Alligator mississippiensis: one gene and its partners. The protein of the gene in region 1 purifies or fractionates together with the protein of each later gene. This does not show direct contact. Links are inferred from orthologs where the notes say so. Each region holds a gene or a part of one and is shown on either strand. Other genes may lie near its edges. The genes, in order: PARD3, PARD6B, PRKCI and RASSF8.

Region 1 (7,195 bases):
TCTATTGAGGTCCCTTCCGACCCTAACATCTATGAATCTATGAATCTATGAACTACTTATTAAAGACAAAGCCTCTTCATAGCTCTATTGACTTCACTTTACAGCCGCTTCTGCAAGTTTTTCAGATGATGTCTATTAAACCTAGGACTTATCACTTTTCAATGCTCCGAGCTTGTTTCCCAGCAGCTCTGATGTTCACCTAGAAAGTACAATAGCAGCATGTTAATGGAACACTTCAATATTTTTGAAATAGCAAATGGAATGAAAAATGATGACCTTACACATTTGGAACGCTTTAAATTGTCTAGAAAGAAATGCAAAACTCTAGAACTCTTGTTTCAGAGATGATACCTTTTATTAGACCAAGAAATTGCAAAAAAATTATCTTTCTTTGCAAGCTTTTGGTCCCCCATGCCCTTCCCCAGACTTAGGGAAAATTAAAGATGGTACAAGCCCCTGTAGGTAGAAAAATACATCCCTTTAAATTATCCAAGATATTTGAGCTGCACACTGTTTTACTTCAGTTTTATATTTAATAGTCTACAGATTATCAGGATTTGGAGTGTTGTTGTAGCCATGATGGCCTGGTGAATGTACAAGGCAAGGACTTCTTGTGATATCTTTTTATTTATACAGTCAGTGACCTGAGGAAAGGAACTTGCTGCCTGAAAGTTTGTCCAACAGCTCTCTCAGCTATACAGTTGGTCCAATAAAAGATAATCACAACAAATCTTTATCTTTCATCTACATTATCAATGTGGTGAAAAAACAAGGAAAATAACATGGTAAAATATAATATGGCAGTAAAAAGAATAATTGGCTATGTAATCATAATGTGTGTGTTTATATGAATACAAAATAAAAATGTTTATTCATTGATTCAAAAAAACATGATCTAACTAGGCCTCAATTTTTTTCCTGTGATACATTTATTATGATTTTAAAAATTAGGATGCTGAACAACAGGGAGTCCAAGGACACAAAGCAAACAGTTGGTATTTCCTAAGAGAACTTCCAGGAGCTTGTTTCCTGGTTTAGTTACTAGATGCTTTCATACAGAAGGATAATTTCAGATGTATGCAACTGGTTCTAATTCAGTGCTGTTTGATAGTGGACGAACCTGAACACTGGATTTGTTTAGTGGCCTGTATGAAATAAGTTGGTTGTTTCAACCCTTATCTTATGGCTTGTCCAAAGTGCATTGAGGTAAATGGTAAGATACCTGTGGGCCACAAAACCTAAATTGGCATTATCTTTGTCTATCACAGTAAACAAGCCAGTAACTAGTTATTCTGTGAAAGGACAGATTCTTATCTTCAAGAGGTGTAGTATCCCAATATCATAAATAAGACATGGTGGCAGAGCAATATGGAGAAACATATTGCTGCTGTCCAGACTTTACTTGTCTAGTGAGTTGAGAACCTTAATTGGCAGGACTGCTAATTGATAATTGTTAACGCGCTATTCACATTAGGAAAAGAAATGGGTCAAAAACTTAGTTTGTTGGAAGTGACTAATACCTGATATACATTATAGTACCTAAAACATCAAGATACAATATTTTTAGCTTACAGTTTCTATATAATCAGTGCCTACTTACAGAATATCTAACTAGAATAGTTTATCTTACAAAAGATATAAAGAGATTTGAAGTCATTGTGATCTATTGGGTCATACACATAGTACAGCAACATTTTAATGACAAATTAATCTGGTTTATTTCCCCCAAAGCAAAAGCAATTGATTATACCAATGTTCATTTTAAATAATTAATATGCCTCTGTTTTCACATGCCTCTATTTTCTGGAGGTATGTTGGAGGCAAGCTGAGAAATAGCTGCAGCAGACCAGTCTGCATTACTTTATGGAAGCGGCAAGGATTTCCTAGAATGGTATGTTTTATTTGAGCAACTGTATGGTTGGGATAGAGCTAGACAAGCTTTTGAATGCAAGATGTTCTTTGAGAGTTCTGAGCAGAACAAGTCAGGCACAGCACAGGAAACATTTTTGCAGGCCGATGCACCATTTTTGCTGCAGCTTTTGGTGGCTTGGAATGTGCTTCTTGAGAATGAAGGCGTATGCTCACTCTCACCTGGTGGCAGGGGCAGTCTGGAGAGAAATGTTGCTGCCACTGAGCAGAACTGTCCTGCATGCCTCTGCTTCCAGGAGACACCATGGAGCGAGCCTGGGAAAGGCTGCAGCAGAAACACCTTGTAAATATAATGGAAGGCCAGGGTCAGCAGAATAGGTGCTCCTCTCAGGACCAGAGTGCAGGGGGGATCCAGAGGAGGTGCAGTGGTGCAGTTTTACCCCCCACCCTTCCCCCCGTAGATTCCTACTCTACACAACCTTAAAACCCAACTGCCTGGGAAGGGCAGTGGTATTTCTATTCAGGCTGTGCTGAAAGTCAGTTGACTTCATGGTTCACTGTAATTTCCCTGATTCCTGCTAATCTCTCTCCACTCCACAGATGTTAAGAACCCTCTATCCTTTTTAACTGTGTTGGCCTTCCACTATTCAAACCATCCTCTCTTCTGCAATTTTGCTGTTAGCCATTCCTCTTGATGTCTTTCTTCTATTTCACAGCCTTGCAGGTGGTTTTTAGCTCTAGCTAAAGACTTTAACTCAGGTGTAGAAATGACTCGCAGTGATTGGAGGCACCACCAAGATCCTCAAGAAGGTTAGATTTTGTTTTATGAGCCTGCATAAGAGACATACACTTAACTGTAATGATTACAGGCCTAATGACAGAATAGGTCTTGACTGTTTTTTGCCTAGCTTCTTTAATTTTTTAAATTTCATATATAATCTAGCTAATTAGTGCACATTTTATTTATTTGTTTTTGCTTTGATTTTGCTGTTATATTTGTTTCTGCCTTGTTTTTAAACTGCCTAATATAGGGCTAGCTCCTAGCATATTAGGAAAGCATCTTGTTTGTCTCTTAACTGGAGAAAAATCTGTATTCTGTGTGATTGTGCCACACCATGTGCACCCATTTCAAAATCCTGGATCTGTCTATGCCAGAGTGCATCTTCTGAGTGACCCTCTGCGTGAGCCATCCCTCCATGATCTCTACCATGGCTTGTCGATCACTGCCCTGCCTGGCAGTGTCCTGCTGAGGGTTGGTAAGCAGAAGGAGATGGGGAGGGGATTGGGGGTGTACTGCGATTACTGCTTCATCCAAAGTTTAAAACCAACAGCCATCACTGGCAGCATGGTACCTAGACTCTTGGTGGCCTCAGGCAACCTGTTAGTATTGGGCCCCACTTCATCAGAGATAATGATAATAATAATTAAAAAATGACCATTTTCAGGCCCTGGGCAGCTGCCCAGTTCGCCCATGCCTCTGTCCAGGCCTGGTCACTGGCAGCAGCATTTCTGGTCAGTGCTGAGGGAGCCACTTGACTTCACAGCTCATTATAATGTACTGTGGGCATGGGTGACTGCTACCCTCCAGCGATCAGTCAGCGACCAGCAAGAGTCCCCCTGTGGCCAGTCTTGCCAACCAGGGCATAGCAGGGTCCCCCAGTTGTACCAACTGGGAAGCGGCCGTGGTGCTCCTGGAGGTGGCTGCAGCACTTCACGCGGCGCTCCCACTCCCTGGCCAGGGCTCCTACCTGCCCCTCGCCTAAGCGGGGAGCGCGGCCTGTCAGGGGGCGCACAGCACTCTCAGGGGTGCACGTGCACCCTCATGCACCCGCTACGCGTCCCCACTGGCTGCAGGGGTGGCCAACCTATGGCTCTTCAGACATGAACACGTGTCTCCTTGAATCTTTGCACGAGCACACAGGGGCCAGCTCCTTCCAAGCACAGCCGCCAAGCTGGTGCAGACTCAAGGAGAGGCATATTCACTTCTGAAGAGCGCAGGTCGGCCACCCTTGATCCAGTGGGTCGCTGCTCGGAGCTTCCCCGGGCAGCCGGGCTCTGCCCTGCCCTGCCCTGCCCTGCCCTGCCAGGCTGCGCCGGGGAACAAGCGCCCGTGTCGCAGCCGGGCGGGGGGCTGCCCCCTCGCTGCCGTGGATCCGGATTTGGCTTTGCCGCAGCCTTCAAGGGAAGGGTCCCGCCTGCTCCTCCTCCCCTCGGAGCGGGGGAAAGGAGCCGCCGCCGCCTCCCGCGCAGTCCCCGCCCCGGGCGCGTGTCATAGGTGCAGCCGCAGCCGGCCCTTCCCCGCGGCAGGGGCGGGAGCCGCAATGCCCAGCGCGGCCATCGCGGGGAGACAGCGCCGCCCCGGCCCCGTCCCGCCGCTGCTGCTGCCGCCGCTGCTGCCGGCCCCCGCCGGAGCGAGCGCCCGAGCCGCGCGCGGCCGCGGAACAGGTGGCCGGAGGCGGCGGCCGAGCATGTGAGCGGGGCCTGGGCGCGCCCGGGGTCGCGGCGCCGGGCAGGATGAAAGTGACCGTGTGCTTCGGGCGCACGCGGGTGGTGGTGCCCTGCGGCGACGGCAACATGAAGGTGCTGGACCTGGTGCAGCAGGCGGTGACCCGCTACCGCAAGGCGATCGCCAAGGTGCGCGGGGCCGGGGCCGGGGGAGCGGGAGCGGGAGCGGCGTCGGGAGCAACATGGCGCTTCCCGGGAAGCGGGAGCGGAGCCCGGCCGGGGCCGCGCTTTGTCCGGGGCCGCCGCCGCGGGCGCGCCCGGGGGGAGCCGGGCCGAGCCGAGCCGAGCCGAGCGCTGGCCGGAGTGGCGGTCCCGCCGCGGGCGGCGCCAGGAGCCAGGCCCTGGCCCCGGGGCAGCGGCTCTCTGCAGCTGCAGAGAAAAAAGGAAAGAAAGTAACTCGCGGAGAACAAAAGGGCCGTGCCGGGCCGGGCCGGCCGGGGGGGTCCTGTCAGCCAAGGCTTCCCCCGGAAAAAAAAAAGTTTCCAGCGCAGGGAGGAGCCTGTGTCCGGCCGGCGCCGTCCGCTGCCCCGAGCCCGGCCCCGGCCACGCGCGGCCGCAGGGTAGGGCAGGGCAGGGGCAGGGGCAGGGGCGGCCCGCACCCCCACCGCCACCCCCGTCGTGCGCCGGGCCCCGCTCGGCCCCGCCCGGCCCGGTCGGGTTGCCGCCGCTGGCAGCGGCCCCGGGCGGGAGGCGGGCTCGGCGGGGCTCGGGTGCTGCCCGTGGGAAGGTCTCCTCCGCACCCCCGCTGCCCCCGGCTGCTTCCCGCCCCGGCCGGGCGGAGACGGCTGTGCCCTCAAAAGCTTGCCTGCCTTTCTCCAGTCGGAGCCCCCCGCGGCTGGTTATTTAATGAAATGTTGTCCAGTGTCTCTTCCAAGTACTCGGCTCAGATGTTTGGGCATGAATTACTCTCTTTGGTTTTTTCCAACCTCTCTGAAATCCGCCCCCCCCCCCCCCCCAAAACACACACATACTTGATGGCAGGGTTTCGCTTTACAGATGTTTACATCAGGAGTTTCTCCAACTGCGCCAAGCTGGAGTTGAAAGTACACGGGGATTAGGCCGGTGGGTTGGACAGGATGTGCCCACAGCCCTCCCCGCTCCCCCCCAAGACGTGGTCAGGATGGGGGACGAAGGCAATTAAGTTTCTACCTTTTGATGAATTTTCCTCAAGAAGATGGTTTTGGAGGGAAAAATCATGACTACTTAGTGTATCTTTTAAAATCTTTCTGGTGTGTAACACACAGTTACAGCACTGACTAGCGAAAAAGTACAATGATTAACTAAAGTATGGCAGCTGCTATATACCAGCTGCTATCATTTATATACCATCCTTGTTGTGCGTGGCATTTCACATGCAAATAAAAGACTGCTTCCCAAGCTTTCTTATAGTTAAGAGCCCCAATCTGGTAAACCCCGACTCCTGGACTGAATGCTATTAATTTAACGGGTGCCATATGTTCTCCGAAATGGTCCCCAAGTTTTTTAGTATTAATGTTGCATTAATAACGTTGCTTGTATTAAACATCTTGGGTTTCCAACCTGTAGCCTGTAACTATCTTTCTTCTCACATCGGGCTGAATCTCATTCTTGTTTCCAGCTGCTAAAATTCATTAAAATATGGCAACAAATGCACTGAAATATAATTTCAGGAATGTAACCGTTACAATAGTTAACACAGGGAGGTTATGTGAAGGAAGATATTCTGATTTCTGTATGATTGCAAATGAGGACAAGTTATCTTTGACCAAAACTGTCTACCGTATGGGGAAAAAAACTTAAGAACCTCTGAAATGTGATATATTGACAGATGCACCGCCAAGGCTATTTGTGTGGTTATAGTCTTGGTGGCTTCCAGCCCCTGAAGCCCTTGATCCTGGTTTTGAAAGACCTTCTGTTTCATTTATTTATGTATTGTCCGGGATTAAGCTGTACTTCAGTCATGTGGGCTTGAGGTGACCCTACTTGCAATGAGATGGTTTCTGTTATTTGGAAATACTGTCTGGTTAAAACACCAAAATGGACACCACATGCCCCTTGCTTTTATGCTGTTAATGTAAAACAGAGTTTTGATGTTGTTAGTTGAAGATCTTGCATTGAAGTGCTTGGGTAATGTAGGGATTCACACAAGTGTCTCAGTAAGTAAACACGAAGAACTCCCCAAATGTAATGAACACCAGGACTGTTGTTCAGGAAACAGATTAATATGGAAATAGTTGGTGTGGTAATGTCAGATCTTTATGGTAGGACTCCACCCTTAGGGTGGAAATTAGAGGGTCCACTTGTACTGGAACGCTGCAGTTGTATGAAGCTTAATTTTTTTTTTCTTTTTTAACCTTTTATTTTAATCAAATATGTAATTGAGGAGGAAAATATGTAGGAGGGGGTGTTTTCAAATTGACTTCATTTGAAGTTGCTTAACCTTTGGAAAGCACACACCTCTTGCAGGACATCAGAAATCTAGTGGACATTTTTTGAAAATATTTTAATTGGCCTTACCACTTGAAAACACTGGTCCCAGTCCTGCAAAACTTGTGCACCCACTGCTCTATACTGGGAGCAGTCCCTTCAAGGGGATTGCTTAGAGCATGTGTGCCTAAAGCAAGGGTGGATAATTATTTTGGCTGGAGGGCCGTTTAACGAGTTTTGGTGAGCTGTGGAGCCCCACCCTGTAACCTATGACCTGTCCTTCCCCTTGGCTCCTGGAAGTACTCCTTTTGGGAAGCGAGTTTGCCATCTTGGAACTGGGAAAAAACCCCAAATTATATACTAAAAATCAAAGATCCACATTACATATTTTATTTAAATATATTTTGGTCGTGAT
Region 2 (7,039 bases), on another chromosome or scaffold:
CTTTTTAGATTGGAAAATGACTGCATGTTTATAAAAGGGAAACACCAGTATGAAGGAAGCTAAAGTACTGATTCTTATTATGAGTGTTAAATGCTGTAAAGTTTTGCAAACTTCAGATCCTTTTTCATGGAAAGAAAGCATGACAATCTGTTATCACATTCCTACAACCATCTTTCTCTTTTCCATTAAACTATCACTGATATTTTTCTTCACTTACCAAAAGTGGACAGAACTTCCATTAATATCTACATGGTCAATCCAAGATTTACCTAATCCATGCATAGATTTACCATCTACAGCCACTTCCATTCAAAATCAAGTGGTGGTGCTAGCACCCACCACTTATATAACAGCCAAGTAGCTAGAGCGCTTACTCTGGAAATGGAAGACATTGGTTCTAGGCCCTCCTCAGCTTGAGGGGGGGTCAGAACCCTATATATCTTCCTCCTAGAAGAGTGCTCTATACTAATGGTTTATAAAATCATCTGGGAAAGGGAAACTCACATGACTCCTGATGAAGCTATAAGAACTGCAAGATTCACAGAGCCAGAGAGAATGAGTAAAAGCTAGCATGACTCCCTAGCTCAGTGACAAAGGCACTGTTTTGAATGAGGGAAGAAAGGTGGGGTGGGACACCTGGGTTCTCATCCTTGTTCCAGGGCCTACTTATGTATTTTGCATTAAAGCACTACTAGATAGAAGACATTGTTAACAGCAGGGACCAGAACCCAGGTTTCCCCCTTCTCTTGGAAGCGTCCAAACAACTATGGAGTTACAGATCCTTTTGCTTATTTTTCGTACGGTAGTCCTGGGAGTTTGAGCCAAATTTAAAAATAAGAATGAATTAAATATTAATGCAAACCTTCTGCTTTCTCCTTCAGTCTGAATTTTATCCCCTGAGGAAACCTTTCGGGTACTGGGCAAGATAGATGGAATACCACTCCATTAAAAAAAACAGGAATGAATCAGATGGAAAAAAGACTTGTCATAGGGAATACAAGCTGTGTGGGGGTTCTGCTCTTAATGATGCAATGAGGGTGGGAGGCTGTCAATTACCACAAAATAATTAAGAAACCTTAAACAAAAATACCCAGCTCCCCTTTGAGTTCTGAACAGGCTGATGGACACAGAACATTATTTTCTTTGAGGGGCAGTGAATAGCTTAACTCTTAATCACATGTTTATCGAACTTGGAACTAAAATAGCCCTGCAGTTCTGCACTATGCCTGGCACAGGCAGCTTCCCCTCCCCTTACCTTTATCTGAAACCAAATTGTTCATCACATTCCTTTCTTACGCAATATCAGCTCACTGTAATGCAAGATAGCTAGTGATTAATACTTTTTATTAGGTTGGTTCCAGTGACTCGAGATGAATTTGCTCTGACTCTTGCAAGCACGAGGCCACACCCAGTTGTATGGCACTTCAACAACTCTAGGAATGTGAGACGCATTCTTAGAGGAAACCTAATAAATCTGTAATGATAACATCAGCTTCTTTACAGTTTTAAGTGCACAGAACTTCCTGGAGGGGTTTCCACCTCAGAATAAAGGTAAGTCAATTGCAATGCTAACCCTTGAAAAAGCTGTGCGCCTCTTTTGTCTCCTCCACTGGCCTCTGCATCTTCCAAGTGCCCAGGACAGCAAAGCTGGTCACTTATAAACAAGAGCAGAACTGGATAGAGACAGAGAGAAGCCACTTCTTTCTCTCAGTTTTGGCGACTGTGAAATGACAAATTAATTAGTTCATCTTTGCTGACATGGCTATAATTCCACTGATTTCCAAGTATGTCCGTGTTACAGGAGAATCCAGTGTTAGGTATGGATAAGATCAAATATGTCACTTCACTATTTTCTTTATCAAATAGAAGCAGGGATGTGTAGACTTGAACTAAGCATCTATTGATCTATAACAAAACATTTTAACACTGAACTATACCCTCTGCACTAATCAGGTCTTGTCTTGTTTGGGTGAGAGGTACAATTTCTCTGCCTCACAGTTGGCCTTTGGCCTGCTTTACACACTACATGGCACCAGTTTACCTTAAAATGTGATTTTAAAGTTATTTTGTTAAAATGGTGTAATTCTGTGTGTGGATACTCTTCTATTGGATTTAGCTTAGTTTATGTTTAAATCATTAACTGTTTACACATGAAGCCCATAAGCTCCCTGAAGAGATTGGGGATGCTGAACCTAACCTATAGGCAGTAACGGAATGGGATGACCACTGCGAAAGATCACACCTATTCCTACAGCAGTTTATACCAACACCAAGTACGTCCCCTATTGGGCACGACCTTGACAGAGAATTGTGGGGCAAGGTGAACAGCCTGATCTGGATACAGATGGTTCAAAACAACACTTTACAAGATAAGCATTCTGGATGCCCCCTGCGTGAATGTGGTGTCCGACAAATGACACAGCACTTATTTGAAAGCTGCAATCTTTACAAAAGCCCAGACAGGGCAGACGGAGTCCACACATTAAGCAATCACACCAGACCGTGGCACACAGATTTGGAAGTTGATATGATGCCATGCAAAATAGATGTTTAAATTTAAAATCTGGTGTACGATTTAAAAGTTTCACCTGCGGAACTATACTAATTATAGATGTGACCTTTTTTCCCCTCCTTTTCTAAAGGAAAAAAATCCTTTTGTATAGCTTAGTTAATTAATTTTTGAAAAAGCTCTATTCTATAAAGTGTCTCCACTAGGGGGATTTGCTAGATGATTCTAGTGGCAAACACAAATTTTAAGAGTAGACTAGCCGTGTATATCTGAGTTCAACCAATACACGAGTATGCTTTGAAAGTTCACTCAGGGTGATAAATATTGCCAAATCCAGTGACAGTCCATGTACTAAAAATGAGAAATTTAGTGAGAAACAGTAACACCTCTACAACTAGAATGAATTTTAAAAGCCTGCCAGCAGAAGCACTGTCCCGACTGGGGTCTCAGTGCTGAGATGGCAGGCAAAGTCTTTGGGTAGAGGTGATATCTTCTATTAGACCAACTAAGCAGTTGCCAAAAAGCTTGCAAATAACATTTTTGCAACTATTTAGTTGGTCTAATAAAAGATATCGCCTCTACCCAAAGACTTCACCTGCCTTTTGTGCTCAGATTGACATGGCTACTGCTCAGATCAATGCTCAAATGTCATTTGATTTGAACTGAACAGGTGCAGCCCTGTGCACAGGCATTTGCAGTTTGCCGGTCCATGAGATGCCTGGCAGGTGGGGCGGGCTGTCTCCCCCTCTGCTCCCGCAGGTGCCTGGGAGCAGCGGGTTGGCCTGTGGGAGGCAGGTGCATGTAGGTGTTCTTGCCAACTGCTAAGTTGGTCTAATATCTTTTATTAGACCGTCACCACGCTGGGGTCACTTCACCACATTTGTCTTCCTGCCTAGAGTAGGGGAGGGGGCTGGACCCAATGATCTGTAAGGTCCCTTCCAGCCCCTTCCAATCTATGAACATCACATCTACTCAAAGAACCCTGCCTGGTGCATGTAGGGTGGGGCAGCCATCATAGAGGACAGTCCGGTTGTCCTGTCGATACAAAACCGGACTCCTTTACGTCCTCTATGATGAAAAATAGAGGGCATAAAGGCATCGGGTTTCGTATCAACAGAGTAGCAGAAAAACGGAACGTCCTCTATGATGGCCACCCTAATGTAGAGGCGTGACAAGAACTGGCTCCCCACCCTGCCTGACTTGGCTGTGGGGAAGCCTGTCCTGGCTCCTAATCCCTTGGCCATAGTCCCTTGTCAGACGCACATGAGACATACCCTGCCTGCCCTGCGCCCCTTTCAGCCTAGAGACTTGAGTGCATTGGGCCCACACAACCCCACACCATATTCCCGCCCCCGCAGCACCCACCGCGCATGCGCCGGCCATGTTGGAACGTGGCCCAGCAGGTGCAGGTGCGCCGAGCCGCGTTTCCCGCCCCCTCCTCCGCCGGGCAGCGGGTGCGCATGCGCGGCCGCCGCAGGTGCGCCGAACCGCCGGCCCGTTGCGCATGCGCGGAGCGCTCCGCCCCTCCCCCCTCGGCGCGGCAGGTGCCAGGCCCGCGGGTGGCTCCTCCCCGCGCAGAGGGGCGGCCGGGCCGGAGGACGGGCTGACCGCGTCCCCCCTCCCCTCCCAGGAGGAGGCTCCGACCGCCTGCGGCATGAACCGGGCCCAGCGCGGCGTCGGGGGCAGCCGCGGCCTCGGCACCATGGAGGTGAAGAGCAAGGTGGGTCCCGCTGCTGACTCACCTGCCGGGCCCGGGGTCACTCGCGGCCCGGCCCGGCGGCGGTTGTCCGCGCGAGGGCTCCGCTCCGTGTCGCCCCGAGCTGCGGCTCTGACGTGGGAGATGAGCGGAGATTAGCGGCCGCAGGTCGGGGGGCGGCGGCGGCGGCGGCGGCCGGGGGGGGGAGCGCGCCCTGCCCTGCCCTGCCCTGCCCTGCCCTGCTTTCCTCTCCTCTGTCGGGGAATAAGGGAGTCTGGGGGCGGGAGGGGACCTCTAGTCCGAGCCCTTGCCTGAGGCAGGAACCCTGACCAGGTCCCAAGGAAAAAAGTGGGGGAGGAGAGAGACAATGATAAAAAATACCCCTTACGCTGGGGGCGACATGGACGAGGGGAGCGGTTGCCGTGCCGGCAGACCTCCCCCTGCAGGTAGAGCCGCAGCTGAATAAGTCACGGTGCAGGGCTGCGTTCGCATGCTCGATTTCTTTTTTCTTCTCTTTTCCTGGCATCGATAGCGATGTTGGTCTGAGGAACGGGTTGATTTTGTTGCTTTCCCGTGCCCCTAAGCAACAGATATATTTGAACAGCATTTTTCAGGCATCGACCAAGATTCAGTCCCGCCTAATATCTTGCTCGCTGACGGTGTTGGAACTCAGCATTGTAAAGGTGTTTATCTGTGTTATGAAAGGGTGTGTCAAGCCATATTAGCCAAATACAATTGGGTAACTTGATCTAAAAAGCACTTTTTTCCCCCCCCCTCTCAGCAAATGCGAGTGTGCCTGCACTCGGGAACTTGTTTTCTTTCATTTGTGGAAGCTGCAATGCAGGCTTGGTATAGGCATTTTTACCAGCGTGCTGTTTAGTTTGTAACAATCTGCGCCCTGCCTATTTTTACCGCTTCCATCTTTCCTGATGTTAACTGTGATCAGGGCATAGATATATTTGAAGGCTCCGTGACGTGGCGGTGTAGATAGTAAAGGTATCAGCAGCTTCTGTCATAGGTTGTACTAATAACGTGACAGTTTCAGAAAACCTGTGTAGATAAGAGTCCATTGGTGTAACAGCTCTTGGGTGATTAAAATGAAAAGTGCTATTTTAAGCATGTCTATAGATATAGTTGCTCATAACCTTTTTCCACTTCTATATTTTCATTTAATGTAATTGGAGATGCACCTTTTTTTGTTTTGTTTTGTCTAAAAATAAAAACCCCTCTTTCATCAGCCCTAATGTGTATGAATCAGCTTGGTGTTTCAGGCCACCAGTTCCCAGATACAGATGTCCTGTTTGAATGAGAACAAAACTGAATGTTATCAAAGATGTTATATGCATGCCCTTTTGGTGTTTTGGAAGAGGCGTAAGTTGCTAGTGAGTGATGAGAACATCTTAAGCTCTGTACAGATCCATATGTCAGTGGGTGTCAGGGTCTGTCACTGGATCTGCTTGTCTCTGTTGCAAGGGATGTAAAGAAGCAAAGCGTCTTGCTTAAGCACATTTTTGCAGGAATGTTTGTATTCCTTTGCTGGAAACAGAGAGATCCTCTAATGAACAGTTTTGCTGTGTCCTAATTTACACTGGAGAACTTAACCAAAATCACAACTAATGTATGTATGTGAGCAGAAGCCTGTTTCAGACCACAGCATGCACTTGCTGGCAGTACAGTTCAAGTGAGATGCTATAGAATGGATATTTTCAGAAGGATGAAGAACTTTTTAGAACCAAAGAATATTTGCAGTTGTACTTGTTTCACTGGGCACATCAAATCTCATTCTTTTGAAATGCAAAGTGATTACAGTATCAGTTGTAGAGACTTTTATCTTTGTGTATGGTAGTGGGCAACAAACCAGCATACAGGTTTCCTTGCTTTATATGGGTTCTGTATGTGCAAATTTTCTCTTATGGGATGACCCTTTTTATACCAAAAATTTGTTATATGTGAGGTCTGTTCACTCTTATGCTGCTTTGCGCAGCGCGTTGTGGGAGTGACATGCACCAAAATGTAGTCTACTGTGTGGATCTGTGCTCTTTGCTCATTGTCTGCAACACTTATTTCTGTAGTTGTCATCCCCATTATGGTAGTGCCATGTACTTGTGTGTACTGCCTGCTGTTGGCGAGTACCAAAATTGTCTTGTAAAAGTGGTAGAAATGGTCAGTACAGTTGAGGTTTTGGAACATATCCCTATTTATTGCATTGTAAAGTGGGTTCCCTTTACGTGAATTTGAGTTATGTGCCGTTTTCCAGGAACACATGTACAGCATAAAGCAAGGGAAACCTGTACTGTGAGGTTCCTCTCCCCACTCCTGCCCTCCCATCTAATATGGTGCTGAACTAGTTTCAGTGTTCTCATAAAATATGGTGTGGCTGTTTGTAGCTCATTGGATTACTGCTGCAGCAAGTTATCACATAAAGATAGCATTGGGATGCTGCAGGGCAAGAGTAGTCAGCATTAGTCTTTCTGTAGTAAAGCATGTGACTAACATTTCTCAAAAGAGTGTAATTTAGTGTAGTTCTAATCTAAAAAGGAAATAGTCAGCAATGCATCTAGCATATAGGTGGGAAGTGTACTGTGCTTTTCCCCTTGTAAAATGGGGATGCTCTGCTGTTCATGTTTTATGAAGTGCTTTAGTTCTCAATTAGCAGGTAACCCCTTTCTCTTCTGCAGCCCACCTTTTTAAGCATTTTTTCTTCTTTGAATACCCATCTTCTTAAACAACCTTGCCTTCCTTGGAGCTTTTCTCTTCCATTTTGTTGTAGTGCAGCTTATCTAATAAGAGTAAAGGAAAGTAATTTTTATGTTCAACTGCAAAAATAATATGAT
Region 3 (7,126 bases), on another chromosome or scaffold:
CAGAGGAGCCATGAGGGGCCCAATCCTTGTTGTTGCAGCACAGCCCCCTTCCCCACCCTCTGCCCCAAGGCACGCATGCCAAGCAAAATGCCTGTGTGCACCATGCTCTGGCACCTGTGCCAGGGGTTTCCTACCCTGGTATAGTGCCTCAAACTGTTCATCAAACTCATATGCTCTTTGAATTTTTGTTGAATCTCTTATGAATGCTACAGCACCATCTGAGAACCTTTGCCACTCTTTAACAAATGATCTAGGCTCTAATAAATCAGGCTGAATATGGTTAAGGTTCCCAAAAGAGCCCTCAAGTCCTACTGCAATGAGATGACTGTTTTTGCTACCTAATTCTTCAGCAACTCCAAGAGTTAAAATTCACACACTTCACAGCTGATACTCTAGCAACAAAGCCCTTGAATAGATATCTTACAACTGAGCAAAAACAGATTTTCATGAAGTTTTGATTTCACTAAAATTAAATTTCAGAAGTTTTCCTATTTACAGAGTAAACCCAGACTTTATAAAATTCTTGTCAAAAGCCAAGAGTTATGAAGAGACTTGTTTCAGGCCTGTAGCAGGCAGGGCATTAACCTGCAATGTGGTAAGAACAAAGTTCAAGACTCTGGCCTACTTGATTCAGACAAGGGACTTGACTTCCCTGGCAAGAGACCTGGGTAGACTATTTATTGCTCTAAGGCTAGAAATAGATGGCACCAAATGGAACAGATGAGGAGTGCCAGGATGCGCCTGGCATAACTGATCCACCTCACTGGGCAAAACACAGATTGCCCATTGTCCCGCCATTGATCTTGTGGGACAATGGGCAATGTGTTCCCCACTAACAGAGATGTGCCCTGGAAATCTTTGGGGCACATCTCTAACAAGGGAAACCCTAGCTTTCTCAGCTTACAGAAACTTGCCCTGGAGACCACATCAGACAGAGCTACATACACCATTGTGGTCCTGGGGCTGGAACCACGAGTGAACTGATTGGCAGCCTCAGTCCCAAGACTACACTGGAGCAATTTCCGTACTCCAGTGTGGTCCAAGGCCCAGGCCCCGCCAATAAGCTGATTGTCCGTCTCAGGTCTGGGACCATACTAGAGTGTCAATGGATGTCTGGGAAATCCCAAACAGGGGAACCCAGGCAGGTGCTCCCAGGCCTTCGGGGCCTGATCCTGCTTGCCCCAGGAATGGGAATTCTCAGGGCACATGGGATTGAGACTCTGAAACCATGGGAGTGCCAGCCCAGGGCTGCTGGAAAGCATCAGCAGCTCTGAGCTGACCACACTCTCCCACCATAAACCTAAAAGACATCTGCTGTAATAAAGCATCACAAATTGATTATAGATTTCATAAACATTAGGGCTGGAAGGGACCTTGGAAGATCACTGGGTCCAGCCCCTGCCCAAGAGGCAGGAAGTCAGCTAGGGTCAAAGAATCCCAGTAAGATAAGTGTCCAAATGTTTCTTAAAAGTGTCTGGAGTAGGTGCCTACAGGTGCTATTCCAGGCTCTGGGAACACAGATGGTAAAGAAGTTTTTTGCCTGATGTCCAGCCTAAAATGGTCTTCCAGGAGTTTGTGACCACTGGACGTTGTCTTTCGTTCGGGTGCTCTGAACAGGGGTTCCCCCAGATCCTGATGCACACCCCTTGTATACTTATAGGCTGCTACCAAGTCACAAGTTATGACCACAAGTTTTAGGCATTTGACACAAGACAAGGGGGTATGGATGTTGGTTTGCTTCGCCTTTGTACCACCATAAAAATGTCCACCCCCTGGATTTGAGCAGAAATTCTATCCCTGTGCCAAGAAACCTTCCCTGGTGAAGGTCCATCAGAACATGTACATATACATACGCAGGCATGTACATACACACTTATGTCAGCTCCAACAACTTTTTTCTGAAGAGAAAAAATTATAATTTCAAAACAGTTTCCCTAGCCAAATTCCTTGAGCAAAAGCACTGTCTCCATGCTAGCTAGGGGGCCAGAGAGTTTAAGGTCTTCAGTCCCCAAGTGTGAAGCCAGACATAAGTAAAATCGTATATTCTAGCAAGGTTTCTGATAGTTTAAGATGAGAGTCTGACAGGCTGAATGGAGCATGAGAGAATTTTTTGGAGTGCATAAAGTTAGAGGAAAATAGTGGGGGTGGGCAGGAAATGTATAAATGAGACCTTCATACAGCTCACGAGGAAGGCATTCCAGTTAGACAGCTTGTTTATAACCGGGATCATTAACGTGAGTCACAAAGGGAGTTGGTTAGTTTCAATCCTTTACTTGAACTGACAACTGCATTTACACCCAGGTGAACGGAGAGAGGCATCTCACACCGACCCGCACACAAGAAACACGTTGTTGTTCTTGTTAGCGATGAAATCTTAAATGGCTTTCAACTGCACACAATCTAAGTAATTTAACACCTCAAAATGCTCACGCAAACACCATTCAGATATTTCTTTATAAAAAATAAAAAAAAAAAGCCGGTCTACCAGAGATGCTACGGACGGAAGTGACAAGCAAAATATCACGCGTACAGCTCTATATAAACTGTCCCAATCATCGCGTGGCTTTTGGCCTTATCTTAACCGTGATTATTACATGGATTACTAAAGGGAAAGCAATGCAGGCTTAATGAAAGCACTGATGCATTTCCTCACGCTCTTAGTTCTTTATTTTTATTTGCTCATCTCTCTCCAAAGCCAAGTCTTGCCCTTGCTTAGATGGTAAGGGGGGGGGGGGTCTCTTCCCAAGCACTGTGCAAACCCCTGGAACAAAGGGCCAAGGCTCAGCGGGGGCCTGGAGGAGCCAGGGAGGGGCAGAAGGAAACGCCTCTCTTCCCAAAAATGCCGCCTGCCCCCGAACACGCGGCGCCGCCGCACTCACCCCTTGTAGTAGGCTTTGACGCGGACCTGGTGAGCGCTGTCGCCGCCGCCGCCGCCGCCGCCCAGCGACAAGTGGGACATGGTGGTACCGCCGCCGCCGCTGCCCTCCCGCTGCGTCGGCATCGCCGCGCGCCCGCCCGCCCGCCCGCCCGCCCCTGCCCTCCCGCCTCCCTCCCCGGCGGCGGCCGCTCCCGAGGGCCCGGCGCGAAGAGGCGGCGGCTACCCCCGCGCCCCGGAGCGCCTCTGCCCCGCCCCCTGCCCGCGGCCTGAACCAAGTGCTCACACCGCGGGGGGCGGGCCGCTTCGAAGGTGCTCGGGGTTAGGAGGATTCCCCCCCTCCTCAATCCACGGCAGTTGGTACAACCCAATGCCGGAGCCGTGAGGCATGATGGGACTTGTAGTCCGCCGCGCGTGCTGGACCGGTTGGGACTGAGGGGCGGGCAGTGCCGGTGCTCCTGAATCCCCGTGGATGCACGGGGACAGGGTTGCCAGGATTGCTCAGCATCGGGCCAGAGGGCAGGAAGTGAGCCAGTGATTCCCAGCCACGGCAACCCCAGCAGCCTGGAAATCCTTGCAAGGCTGCCCCCAATGTTAAGCGTGCACACGTGCTTCACCAGACAAACCCGCAGATGTCAAAGCGTTGTGACCTGTTGCGGTTTTTCCGAGTTCTTTGCAATTGTTCTAATTGTTCTAGTGTTGTTAGAATGGTTCTAATATCGTGTTAGAATTCTTCTAATATTTTTCTGGGTTGCTGGGGGTAGCTGTACTGGTCTAGGGACATGGGCAGGCAAGGTTCTTTGAGTAGATGTGATATCTTTTATTAGACCAACTGAGTAGTTGGGAAAAAAGTTCTTAGCAAGCTTTTGGGCGCAATCGCCCTTCTTCAGGCATAGGGAGTCTCTGCTGTTCCTATGCCTGAAGAAGGGCGATTGCGCCCAAAAGCTTGCTAAGAACTTTTTTCCAACTATTCAGTTGGTCTAATAAAAGATATCACATCTACTCTAATATCCTTTCTGCCATCAAAAATGGAGTGAAAACTAAAAGTTGTCATTGTTCATGGGGTGTCTCGAGTCCAAAAAGGCAAAGAACCACTGGACTAAGCTTACCCAGCTACAAAAACTTATACTAACAATGCCAAGGGTATTGCTGCTGCCGTGTAAGATTTTGTATTATACGAGCAGCAATGTGTTACAAAAAGCTGGATGTTCTCTATTTTTAATAGGAAATAGCTAAGTGTTGTTGAGAGTTTAATTATGGAGACCTCTAAGTGTGTGGGCGATTAGATAACTAGTCCTCTACAAGCTGATTATTATCGTTGGCCATCTCAGGACATTCCCACAAGACCTTGCACAGGCAGCATTTTTAGATTTTAAAATATACCTATCAGAGTACTCTGCTTGTGGCAAAGTGAGAACAGTCAGACTTCAAATTCTTCTGTTGGCTCCAATTAAACCAAGTACACGCCTCACAAAGCACTAGGTGATCCTGTTGACTTAAGTGCTTTGTTGGATTTAAGCCCAGTCCAGTTCCTGTTAACTTTAATGTCAGTTCCGCTTCCAATGCATGTGCTAAAACTGGCATCTAGAGCAGTCCATTTTCTCCTTCGAAATGTACTGTAAAGCTCCTTTTCTAGAACTGTGCTAAGAGTTACCACTGTGTTGAGTTTGTGATTGAGTCAGTTACTAAAACTGGCATGAGCTACAGTGTTCAATGCAGCAGCATTCAGGTGTAACAGGATGCAATTACAGAAATAAATTGCTCCAACAGTGTACTCAGATTTGTGAGTGAAACATCATTTGGTGAGGAACACTCTGAACTACTCCAAAAAAGTGAGCTGGTTGAGTGATCAACTGCATTATCTCTCCCCCTGCCACCATACACACCAATATGGCTTTTGGGTTGTATTTACTTCTGCAGGCAGTAAGTACAGGCAATCGATAACTTGCCAGAAGAAAACAGAAAGCTCTTTGTCAAATATTTGACACTCCACCTACTTAAACAGCTGTGGCAACAGGAGCAACAGGTTTATAGCTTATTGTTGGGAAAGGAAAACAAATCTAGAAATTTAGCTGCAAGATTGTCTAAATTCTACTTGATGACTTGCAACAAGCCAGACAGTCAATTCATTTGTTAAACACCTCAGAAAAAAATAAGGAATCCATGGACCTAACTTTCTAATAGCCAGTATTAAACAAGAGGTCTTGCATTTACCAAAGTTCCAGTAGTATGGCTACAATACTTAGAAGTCAGTCAAATGTGGTGGAATAGAAATCACAACTGGAAAACAGGCTGAAAGGCATGCACTCTTCAGGACAGATATAGAGACATAGGTGATGGAATAAGGCATGTCAATTAAGTGATTACTAAAAAGTGAGTGATTCTGCATACAAAAATCTGTTTCTGTCAAAATCACTTTGATAGTAGTAGTTTTTTCTGCAACAGGCTTAAGAATCTGACCCCTAGTGTCAGAATTTATGAAGATCATCCACTGAACTGGTGATAGAGGGTCAGTACCTGTGTGAACTTCCTCTACAAGGAGATTAGAAACAATATAGCAACTTTTCATTGGAGTTTACCTTAATTTGACCTTAATATAAATAAATACTTTCTTTCTCCTAGATATAACTGGTCTAGTGATTTTGTTTGATCATGCCCTTGTATCAGATGAGAAACCCTGACAAATCTTGTTTTTGTTGCATGTGTAATGTCATGTTTTCAGAAAATAACATATCCAGTCTTGCAGATAAATTCCACTATCACAGATTTTGGCCAACCGGATTCTGTTTTTTCTCGCCCCATTCGATTTTATAGTGCATTGGCTGCTTGTGATTGCCTTCTTTTTGTCATCATTTCTCCAAGGCAAATGCTGTTTAGACTCTGTATGTACCAGACATATGAAACAGAAGTTTGACAGCAAGGGTAAAAAAAGCAGTCCTTGTGGAGGTTTATTTTAACATTGGTGCTTCCAAAGCACGTGAATGCAAATTAAAATTGTCATAAATAATTTAAGTGATTCCAACTGGGTATTTCTTGTTTGCATTCAGGTACAGGCTGGTAAAAATAATAATATTTATTTTGTTCATTGGACACAGGTTTCTAATATGGACAAACACTAATAGTCCTAGTTTCAAAACACCATCTCGGGGCACTGGAGGTGAACTAGCTATTAGAAAATCTGAAAGTTCCTTGTAAGGCAATAACATGTCTCTCCATTTGGGCTCCCATTGTCCCTGATTACAAATCCCTGTCTTTAAAGAAAATTAGTCCTAAACCTTGTCTGATGATAAAATTGAACAAGCATTGACCTGACCAAAGGATATTATACCTTTTCACAATAGGAGATGGCTCACCCATGAAAAATGAGTCAGTACATTCAAAAGCTGTGGCTTTGTCATTGTTAACTGTGCAACCATCTGGAAAGCAGCAATTTATTTGAAAGTGTTCACCCTTGAGGCATGTTGTACATGCATAGTATGAACTGTACCTATCAGCCACTAAACAGTTATGGCAGAGGCTCTTTCTGCCCAGGGTAGTTGTCTGGAATGGGAGCTATATGACAGAACAATTTTTATAACCACTAACAGTTATTTCTAGGGATTCTTGTACAGGATACAATCTTATTGCAACATTTTTACATCCAAGTGGTAATAATATACCAGATCTTTTTACAGGTCAAGGATGTTGTTTCAGAAACCCTGGTTTCTCCTCGGAAAGCATATGATCCACCCCCCCAAGTGCTGCAGCTAAGTCATAGGCCTAGCATAGTTGTTCTTTTTAAGAACATTAGTATGGAAAACAGCTTTTGGCCCCTTCAAAAGCCATGGTCTTTGACTTCTACTGAGCTTCATGCTAAGTTTAGAGTCAATACAATGAAAGTCCAAGGCCTTTGCTCATTAGTTTACTTCTCTGAGCTATCCAGTCTACATGCAGCTTTCCTATCAGCCACCTATGGACAAGCATATTTCATAATGTTTGAATGTAAGCTTTGAAATCATTCTTCTAACCACATAGCCATAAATGTATTGACAAAGTCCAGAACACAGTCTTAACCCTTAAATTCTGCCAAGGTCTCCCTGCAATCTAGACAAGATGCAATTAGGTATATCCACATTAGTCTTTTGTCCACATCCAAAATCATAAAGAGACATGATTTTCCAATAATTTCAGGGCTCTAATGCTATTTTATATTATTTAGATCAACATGGATTTCAACACTGACCTTTATGTTTGCAGCTTTTGTCCCTGTAG
Region 4 (7,905 bases), on another chromosome or scaffold:
GCCCAATGCCCTTGGGCTTTTCCAAGCCCTACAAGGAAGCTGGTAACTTTAGGGGGGCTCCTCCCAGTGGGACTTCCCCCACAGGGGAGGAGGAGTCCTCGCTGGTTAGTTAAGGGCTCCTGAAAGTGGATCATCTTTTCCCTGCAACTCATGGCTCCCAGGCCTGGAGGGTGGCCCTCATCCTCTGTGCCAAGCTACTCTCTCACCTGTAGTGGGCTTGGGGGGAGGGGGTGCTGTCCCCTAGAACAGGGCTTCTCTATGCAAGGCTTCTGGGGCCTCTGGCTTGGTGCCATCTGGTGGCTCAGTAGCTCAAACACCGTCTGGCTCCTTGGATTAGACCTTTTGCTATGGGTCAAAGGCCTGGGCTACCTCCATTCAGCGCCTCCTGCAATGAGCTCCTAGCCTCATTCTGGGGGTTGAGGACCTGAGCCACCCAAGCGCTCCAAAGGTCCTACTCCATGCACCAGCCTGTGCACCATGACTCTGGCCACACACCAGAAGTTGCAGACCCAAGCCGCTTCACGCAGCTCCCAGGGTCTGGATGCCATGCTGCACGCCGAAAGCCTAGCTGCTGGAGCCGTCCGCCATTCCCCACTGATGGAAATCTTCAGGGGTGCTCCTGGGCTACTGCTTCACCCTGCTGAGCAGCTCTCCTCAGCTCTTCTAGGCCCTGATCTTCTCTGTCCCAGATGCGTTTCCCCTCATGCTGGGCATGTAGCTCCTTTTATACTCTCCAGGGCTCTGCCCCTGAAGTCTTCCAGACCTGAGTGTTGCAGTCTTCAATCAGGTCTGAGAGGGGGAGGGGGGGGGGAGCAGCTCCTCTCCCACTTCTCTCAGGAAAGGGGAATGACTTAACTCCTTTTGCTGCCTCCTGATTGGTAGATGGGCTCCACCAATTAAAACAGCAAGTTTTCAAGCCTGGGACTCAACCCAAGCTCTGAAAGGCAAGCCTGCTACACTAGCAAATGTTTTGTTAATAAGATACTTTCCAATCCTCTGGAATTTGGTTTCTTCTCCAAGTCCAGAGCCTTCTGGCTCCTTAGAAAAACAAAGCATTTTCACTTTACCTTTCCATCAGTCTCTGTTGCCTGGATCCTAGTCCTTTTCCTCCAGTGAAAACTCCATTGACTACTTGCTGGTCTTTGGGTTATTTCCCCCCCCCCCCCAAAATCACTGATGGCAGTAGGATGAAATTGACATAAAAAAAAAAAAAATATTATAGTCCACTGCTCTGGGACTAGCCTTGTGCCCTGGTGCGAAACTAACCAGATTTGCTAATTTCACCCTGTTGTGGCTTGGCAAAGCCACGAGCAACGCATAGTAAAGCTGGTCACCCTACAAGTTGGTGATGCTTTGGCAAGTTATATTCTGTTCACATTTGGATACAACCATAAGGGTTATAAATGCATTTAGTTACAGGGTCCAGAGGTAAAACTTAATGGAACATTATAATGGAGCTATGCTAATATACACCAGATAAGGACATAACTATAAATCTTCATATAATCCTATTCATAATATGTATACCTTTCAATTTCGTACTGTTTGTATTCATAAACTCATGTTGGGAACAGAAGCCATCATATTAATATGGAGAAATGACTGACCAACACAACAGTTGATGAAAAACTGGACAGGAATAGATGAGATGTCAACACAAAGATCATTTTCATTCTAAGGACTCTTGGAGGCCTCCTCCCTCCCAAAGCAACGATTTATAACACCAGTTGTGTGACATTTCCCAGCTAAAAGAAAAAAAAATTAAGTACGTCAATCAACCAGTTGTCACTGGGAGTCCATGGTAGATGCATCTGCTCAGTGCTTCTGCAAATTAGTCCTTGAATCCAGAGGTGCATAAGAAATTGTTCGTTTCCCCTATCCAGTCATGCACAACTTTACCAGTCCACACAAGCAGGTTGCTTGGTCAAGTGAATGCATCTCTCCCTTTCATGGGCAGAGGAAGGAGGGAAGTCAGACAAGGGACTAAAAGCAAGGTCTTTTTTGTCAAGAAATATATAGTTTGTTAGGACTTTTATCCTTGCTGAATTTCTGTTATTATTTATGGTTGTCACGGTGGGGTCCTGCAGGAGGGCCGTGATCTCCTCAAGGCCCCCTTCTTGTGCCAAGTTGGCCCAAGGGCACCCTCAGATTCTCACCCGCCACGTCTTTGATGGAGATTAAATGTATGGGAGGCTGCCTTATGCCCTCTTGGTCACTTCTTAGTGGTGACTCAGACCCCGTGGTTTCCCAGACCCCTTGTGGGTCCCGTTCTACAATGGGTGCTTCCGGGGCACCCTAGCCCTATGGGCTATGCATGGCTCCAACCACCCCTTTCACCACGCCCCAAGCCTCGCAGCTGGAATAGACATTGTTCAGTCTCCTTCTGTCTCCACTCCCTTTCTGGCACTCGGGCTCTTGACAGCCCCATCTCTCTCTCTCTCTCTCTCTCTCTGTGCCCCCTCTCGGGGCTCTTCTCTGCAATGCCACCCCCTTCTCCAGGGCTGACCACGCCCACACTGGGGCTTCTCAGCAATGCCCCCTCTCTGGGGCTGGGGTCTGTGCACCCCTAATGCTGCACCCTTGCTGGCACTGGGGTTCCCACACTACTGTGTGTCCCCTATGAGGTCTCCTCCAAACCCTAATAGCCTCACCCAAACCACCGGTGATAAACAGCAACACAAAATGCAAGCCCATCGGCTATAACTTAAACAGAAGCCACCCGGCTATAATCATGCTTTGCCTACCAGGGTTCTTCATCCCACAGCCAGGTCATGTGCTGCTCCTTCAGCAGGCATCTCCTCTCTTCCACAGCAAAAAGCTCCTTCCTCCAGGGCTCCTGACAGGGACTACCTCTGGTCTTAGCTCCTAGGGTTTATAAGGGAGCCAGGCCCTACCCCTTTCAGTCAGCTGACCTCCCCTGGTTGCCCTGGCAACCCACAGCTGGGCTCCTTGTTCCCTGCTAGGGCTCTTTCCCCATCAGTTTCCCCTCTTCACGAGCAGGGCACCTAAGTACCCTGCGACAATGGTCTTCATTGCTGTACGAGACATAAGAGGAAGAGATTATAACTGAAAACTCTGACCTTGCAAACATATATGCCTGTGTTTAATTTAAACACCTGAGTAGTCCCATAAGGCTCCTTAAACTGCAAACTCTGCAGATGACTTCAGTGGGGATACATGCAAGTGCAATGCCCTGCTTGCATGAAGTCATTTGAAGGACTAGAGCCTCAAACACACAGGGAGAACAGACTATGTTATGGAGCCTAAAGAAGGATTAATTTGCAATATTACTCAAATGCAAGCAGGAATAATCACAGAACACCCTCTAAAGAAAAAAAAATCTATTGTTTAAAGTATTAAAAATAATACAAAAGGATGCAAAAAAAACCCAATAAAAAATGCTTTTCTGGGTTTGGACTTTTTATTATTCTTATAACTATTTCTCTACAAAAATAAATAACAAAAATATTTTGTTGCTTTTTCTCACAGAAAAATATTTCCCAGCTTACTGTTAGCCCTCTCCTTCTTTAAAAACTGGGACTTATATTTACAGAGTATGTGCTTGTACAGTATATACATAAATACACTCATGTGCAAAGGTTACATCCAGTGATATGCAAAGGTGAACGCACAGAATGCAGATAACATCATCAGGGTTACACCTAGAGAAAATGATGTAACCCCGGGGGGTAGGGGGGTACATACACACACAAATACGCACACACACCCATATATATATTATACAGGGTCTTCATAAAGTCTGTATGCACTTTTACACTTTAATAACTTAGGTTGTAAGTATAATAGAAACAATCTATAAATGGCATTTAAAAGCAAATTTATTAAAGTTTTAGGACAACTAGAATACACAATGTTAGACTTCAACATAACCACCATTTTCTTCTCACAGCTGATATGGACTTCAATTCTGCTACCCATACGACAGTTTACCTTCTCGTCTACAGTAGCCATTTTTTGTTTGTCAAAGGATCTGAAATAAGAACTAATTCATTATTACTTATGAAGTCTACCATTGTGTACTCTAGTTGTCCTAAAACTTTAATAAATTTGCTTTTAAATGCCGTTAACAGATTATTTCTATCATACCTACAACCTAAGTTATTAAAGTTTAAAAGTGCACAAGGATTTTATGAAGACCCTGTATATATATATTATACTAATAATTGGCATTTAAGGGGTTGAGATATAAAATGTATGCTGGTGGGAGTATGAAGGCAGCTGATAAATCTGGAAGGAGGTACACAATAAGAAAAAGTTTCAGAACCTCTGCTCTATATGTATATATCCTCTCTCTATATATTGGGGTGGAGAACCCCAGTGGCTATATATATATATATATATACACACACACACACACGCGCGTGTCATCTAGTCCGTGTGTATAGAGTTGTGTATATACACACGAACACCCACGCTGGGACTCTCCACCCCACTGTGTGTGTGTTTGTGCATATCTACACCCCTCTTCAAAAACATGTATATATCCCCTATATGTATCTATCATCTGTCTCTCCACACCCACACGTAAACACACTCCGGTGTATTCACACACGCACGCCCACACACAGCAGTACACGTACATGCACACGTACACGCGCGCGCGCACACGGGTGCGTCCTGCTGAGGCGCCCCTTGTAGCAGTCGCCGCGCTGCCGCCATGCCCCGGGCGCCTCTGTGCGTGTCCGCCCTGCACAAGCGCGTGCTCTCTCTCTCACACACACACGTACTCACACGCACTCTGCCCCCGAAGCGGCCCCTGCCCTCAGCGCGGCCGCCACTGGTGCTTTAAGACGCTCCCACAATGCCGTGGCGCCCGGCCCCGTTACCAGGCAGCTCGGGCCGCGGCAGGGCCGGGAAGGGGCGGGGCGGGGCGAGGTGCCCCGCGCACAGCTGAGGGGAGCTGGCAGTCGGGAGCCGTGTGGGCAAAGCTGAGGACCCGCTGTGCTGGAGCCGCCGCTCGCGGTGAGTGTGGACTCGGGACGTGCCCTCCCCCGTGGCCCCCGGCCGGCCCTCTCCTCTCCTCTCCTCCCCTTCGCCCCTCGGCTCTTCTCCGTCTCCCCCAGCTCCTTTCCCCACTTCCCCTCTCTTCGGTTTTTAACAGCCCCCACCCTTCTCTTCCCACCTCCAACTTTCTCTTCTTCCTGGTATTTTTCACCCCTTGCTTTCTCTCTCTCTTTTTTTTCTATTTCCTTTCCACCACCCTCAGTTTCCTCTTCTACCCTGTTTCCTCCTGGCGGCTCACCCCCCCTCTCCTTCTCCTTTCTTTCCCAGCTCCCTTTCCTCCCCTCTTTTATTCCCCCCCCCCTTTTTTTTTTGGTATCTCTGTCCCTCTCCATACAGCTCCCCTCTTAAAAAGTCAGGGGTGTTTTCCACACCCTTGGCAAGACAGTTTCGAAGCCACTTTTACCCATCAGGAGAATGTGTAGCTCTTTATTTTTCTTTTTTTTTTAAACTTCTCTGGGCTCTCTCTTGCCTTCCCCCAGTCACCCGAATGAAAACAAAATGAGTTTTTCTTCCCAAAGTGGATTGTGTTTTTGTGTTGGCTCCCCCCCCCTCCCCCCCCCCCCCCCCCGCCCCTTGCTTCCAGACAGCCAGGATTTATTTTGTGGTTAATCTTTTTTTTATTTCCCCGCCTCCTAGTAGGAAAAAGATTAAAAGTAAATCCGTCCTGCCTGTGGGGAAATGGATCAGATTTTAGGACTGGCTGCTAGGAATGCTTGAGTGAACGGTGTCTGATTTTGATCATAAAACAGCTTTAAGGCTAGGCAGGCGGGTGGTGTGGGTTTTTTTCGGTCATTGGTCGATGCAGCATTGAGTACATTGTAAACTTTGTGGAGACCGAGATGGGTTTGATTTCTTTTTTTTTTTTTTTTTAATTTCCAAGTCAGTCTTCTGATATGGGCCAACCCATCTTTCTCCACAATCAAATGTCATTTGGAGACAGCAACAAAGCTTCACATTAAATTGCAGCTCTGCATTGCTCGTGGATTTGATTGGTGTCCTATGTAAAAAAGGAGAAATATGGTGCACATTTTGTTGTGCCTTACTGAATTGCACCTGTCTCCTCTTCCATTTGAGTCTTGCACAGATCGCAAAGCTTGGCATAATAATGATCAGAAAAAAGTCACTAGAAACTAATTGAATACCTGACCAAATATATTGTGGGTTATGAAGTCTGGCTTGTGCTTTACAAGTGGCTGCATCATCTTTCAGCAGCATTGCTTGTTAAAATTAAATACGCACTGGACTGTGGAGAACTGCTAAATCAATTACCCCTTGATTTCTGGAAAGACACCTGGATTAAGATGATTATTTTCTTAAATTTTCAACTGATTTTGTATATGCAGCGCTATCCCTACTGTATGTATATCTTTGGGAAATGTAATCAAATTGGACATTAATTTGGTGCCGCTTCATATCATGGGGTCGGGTCTGCAGATGGGTAGGTAAAGAGTTGGGGGTGCTTTTTTTTCCTCAGTGGATTATATTGTGTTTTTTAAAATACATTTAAGTTAGATAAGTTAATTGACAATATTGTTTGTAGTGTCTGCATAATTTTTAATATAAGACAAAATGAGGCTGTCTTTGGGGAAGGGGAAGTGAACAGAAAAAGACTATTTTTCCTCCACGGAGTTTTCAAAAACACATGCTCCAGCAGGATAAAACAACTGTGTAATACGGTTTCTACAGCTACATGAGAACCTCTAAATCGGCCCTTCCCATCAAATAAAAAAATCCTTATAGAAGCTGCCCCTAGTTGCTTAGATTGGTAAAAGATGGGTCTTTCTCTGTGTCAAGCTTTCTGGAGACAAAAGACAAATTTGTGAATGGAATCATAAGAAACAGATGGAAAGGCAGCAAATGCTTCTGGCAACAAGTTAGTACATCTTTTTGGAGTCTGGTGGTGCTGTGTCCAGAAATATGAACAACCTGACAGAGATGACTAGCAGCTTATTTTTGATCCTTCCTTGAGGGAAGCTTTGAAAAGGGATGTAGTATTAAGAGGGGAATGAAATCTAGCTTTAAATGAAATGCAGGACTAGGGAGTTGAGTTTCTGTGCCTGTTTGCTGCCATTCCATGGCATGTGACCTTTACCTAAACTTCACCGTCTGCCCCCCTCACAGGATGTTGAGTTTTCCAGTAATGACTCTAAACTACTTTTAATACCATTTGGTGAAAATTCTTTGGTGCAAATGTATCAGTCTGTTTTTTTGCCTAACGGTTGTTTAGGAATGTTAGTTAAGTAGCCCTATGGATTCGTATATTAATATTGGCTCTTGTACGGTTGGGAAAGCACAAACCTCTCTTGTGTACACAGTTAATGTTGTGCTCTGACAGCAGTATATGTGTGAGCACATGGGGAATTTTAACATTGGCATACTGTTATGGAAACCGACCTTCTGCTCATCCACAGTGCAGATATTAGTGCAAGTTTTCCCCATAGTGTGCACCTCAAGCCACTCCTGAATAGGCTGTTTAGTGCCTGGCAGAAAGGAGACCTATTAGTTAAGTGTGGAAAAAGTACTGAGACTCCCCTAGCTTAATACACAAAATTCCTGAGCAAATGTTTTTCCTTTGTAGATACTATAAACAACATTGCCTACTTCAAGCATTCGAAGCCTTATAATCCAGACTTCCAAAATCATGAGAGGCTTAGAAATTGTGAGGGTTTTCTTTCCCCTTTTTGGTGGGGAGGAGGGGCAGGGGTATACTTTTCTTTGCCTCCTTATTTAAGGTGTTTGTTGTTGTTGTTGTTGTTATTACCTGCTTGCGTCATGTTTTCAAGCTAGTAACTTCTCCTTTCTTCTTCTAAGAAAGCTGAAATTCCTCTCCCCCTCCTTCCTCTGCAATCTCTTGATTCCAGGAGTCAAAGCTTTAAGAAA

The links.
Region 2: the proteins of PARD3 (region 1) and PARD6B purify together in Homo sapiens (affinity purification with mass spectrometry; 5 studies listed by BioGRID and IntAct, counting the BioPlex papers as one, with this or other methods). This does not show direct contact. The link is inferred for Alligator mississippiensis from reciprocal best matches to the Homo sapiens genes PARD3 and PARD6B.
Region 3: the proteins of PARD3 (region 1) and PRKCI purify together in Homo sapiens (affinity purification with western blotting; 5 studies listed by BioGRID and IntAct, with this or other methods). This does not show direct contact. The link is inferred for Alligator mississippiensis from reciprocal best matches to the Homo sapiens genes PARD3 and PRKCI.
Region 4: the proteins of PARD3 (region 1) and RASSF8 purify together in Homo sapiens (affinity purification with mass spectrometry; 4 studies listed by BioGRID and IntAct, counting the BioPlex papers as one, with this or other methods). This does not show direct contact. The link is inferred for Alligator mississippiensis from reciprocal best matches to the Homo sapiens genes PARD3 and RASSF8.

Annotation. Positions count from the first base shown.
Region 1 is NC_081828.1:194,860,404-194,867,598, reverse strand, and holds the start of PARD3 (partitioning defective 3 homolog), read left to right. Parts: upstream 1-4,182; 5' UTR 4,183-4,383; coding exon 4,384-4,503; intron 4,504-7,195. UniProt on the Homo sapiens protein: Adapter protein involved in asymmetrical cell division and cell polarization processes. Seems to play a central role in the formation of epithelial tight junctions. Targets the phosphatase PTEN to cell junctions.
Region 2 is NC_081832.1:12,816,333-12,823,371, reverse strand, and holds the start of PARD6B (partitioning defective 6 homolog beta), read left to right. Parts: upstream 1-4,033; 5' UTR 4,034-4,163; coding exon 4,164-4,229; intron 4,230-7,039. UniProt on the Homo sapiens protein: Adapter protein involved in asymmetrical cell division and cell polarization processes. Probably involved in formation of epithelial tight junctions.
Region 3 is NC_081830.1:74,797,635-74,804,760, reverse strand, and holds the start of PRKCI (protein kinase C iota type), read right to left. Parts: upstream 3,020-7,126; 5' UTR 3,002-3,019; coding exon 2,880-3,001; intron 1-2,879.
Region 4 is NC_081827.1:128,470,844-128,478,748, forward strand, and holds the start of RASSF8 (ras association domain-containing protein 8), read left to right. Parts: upstream 1-4,893; 5' UTR 4,894-4,983; intron 4,984-7,905.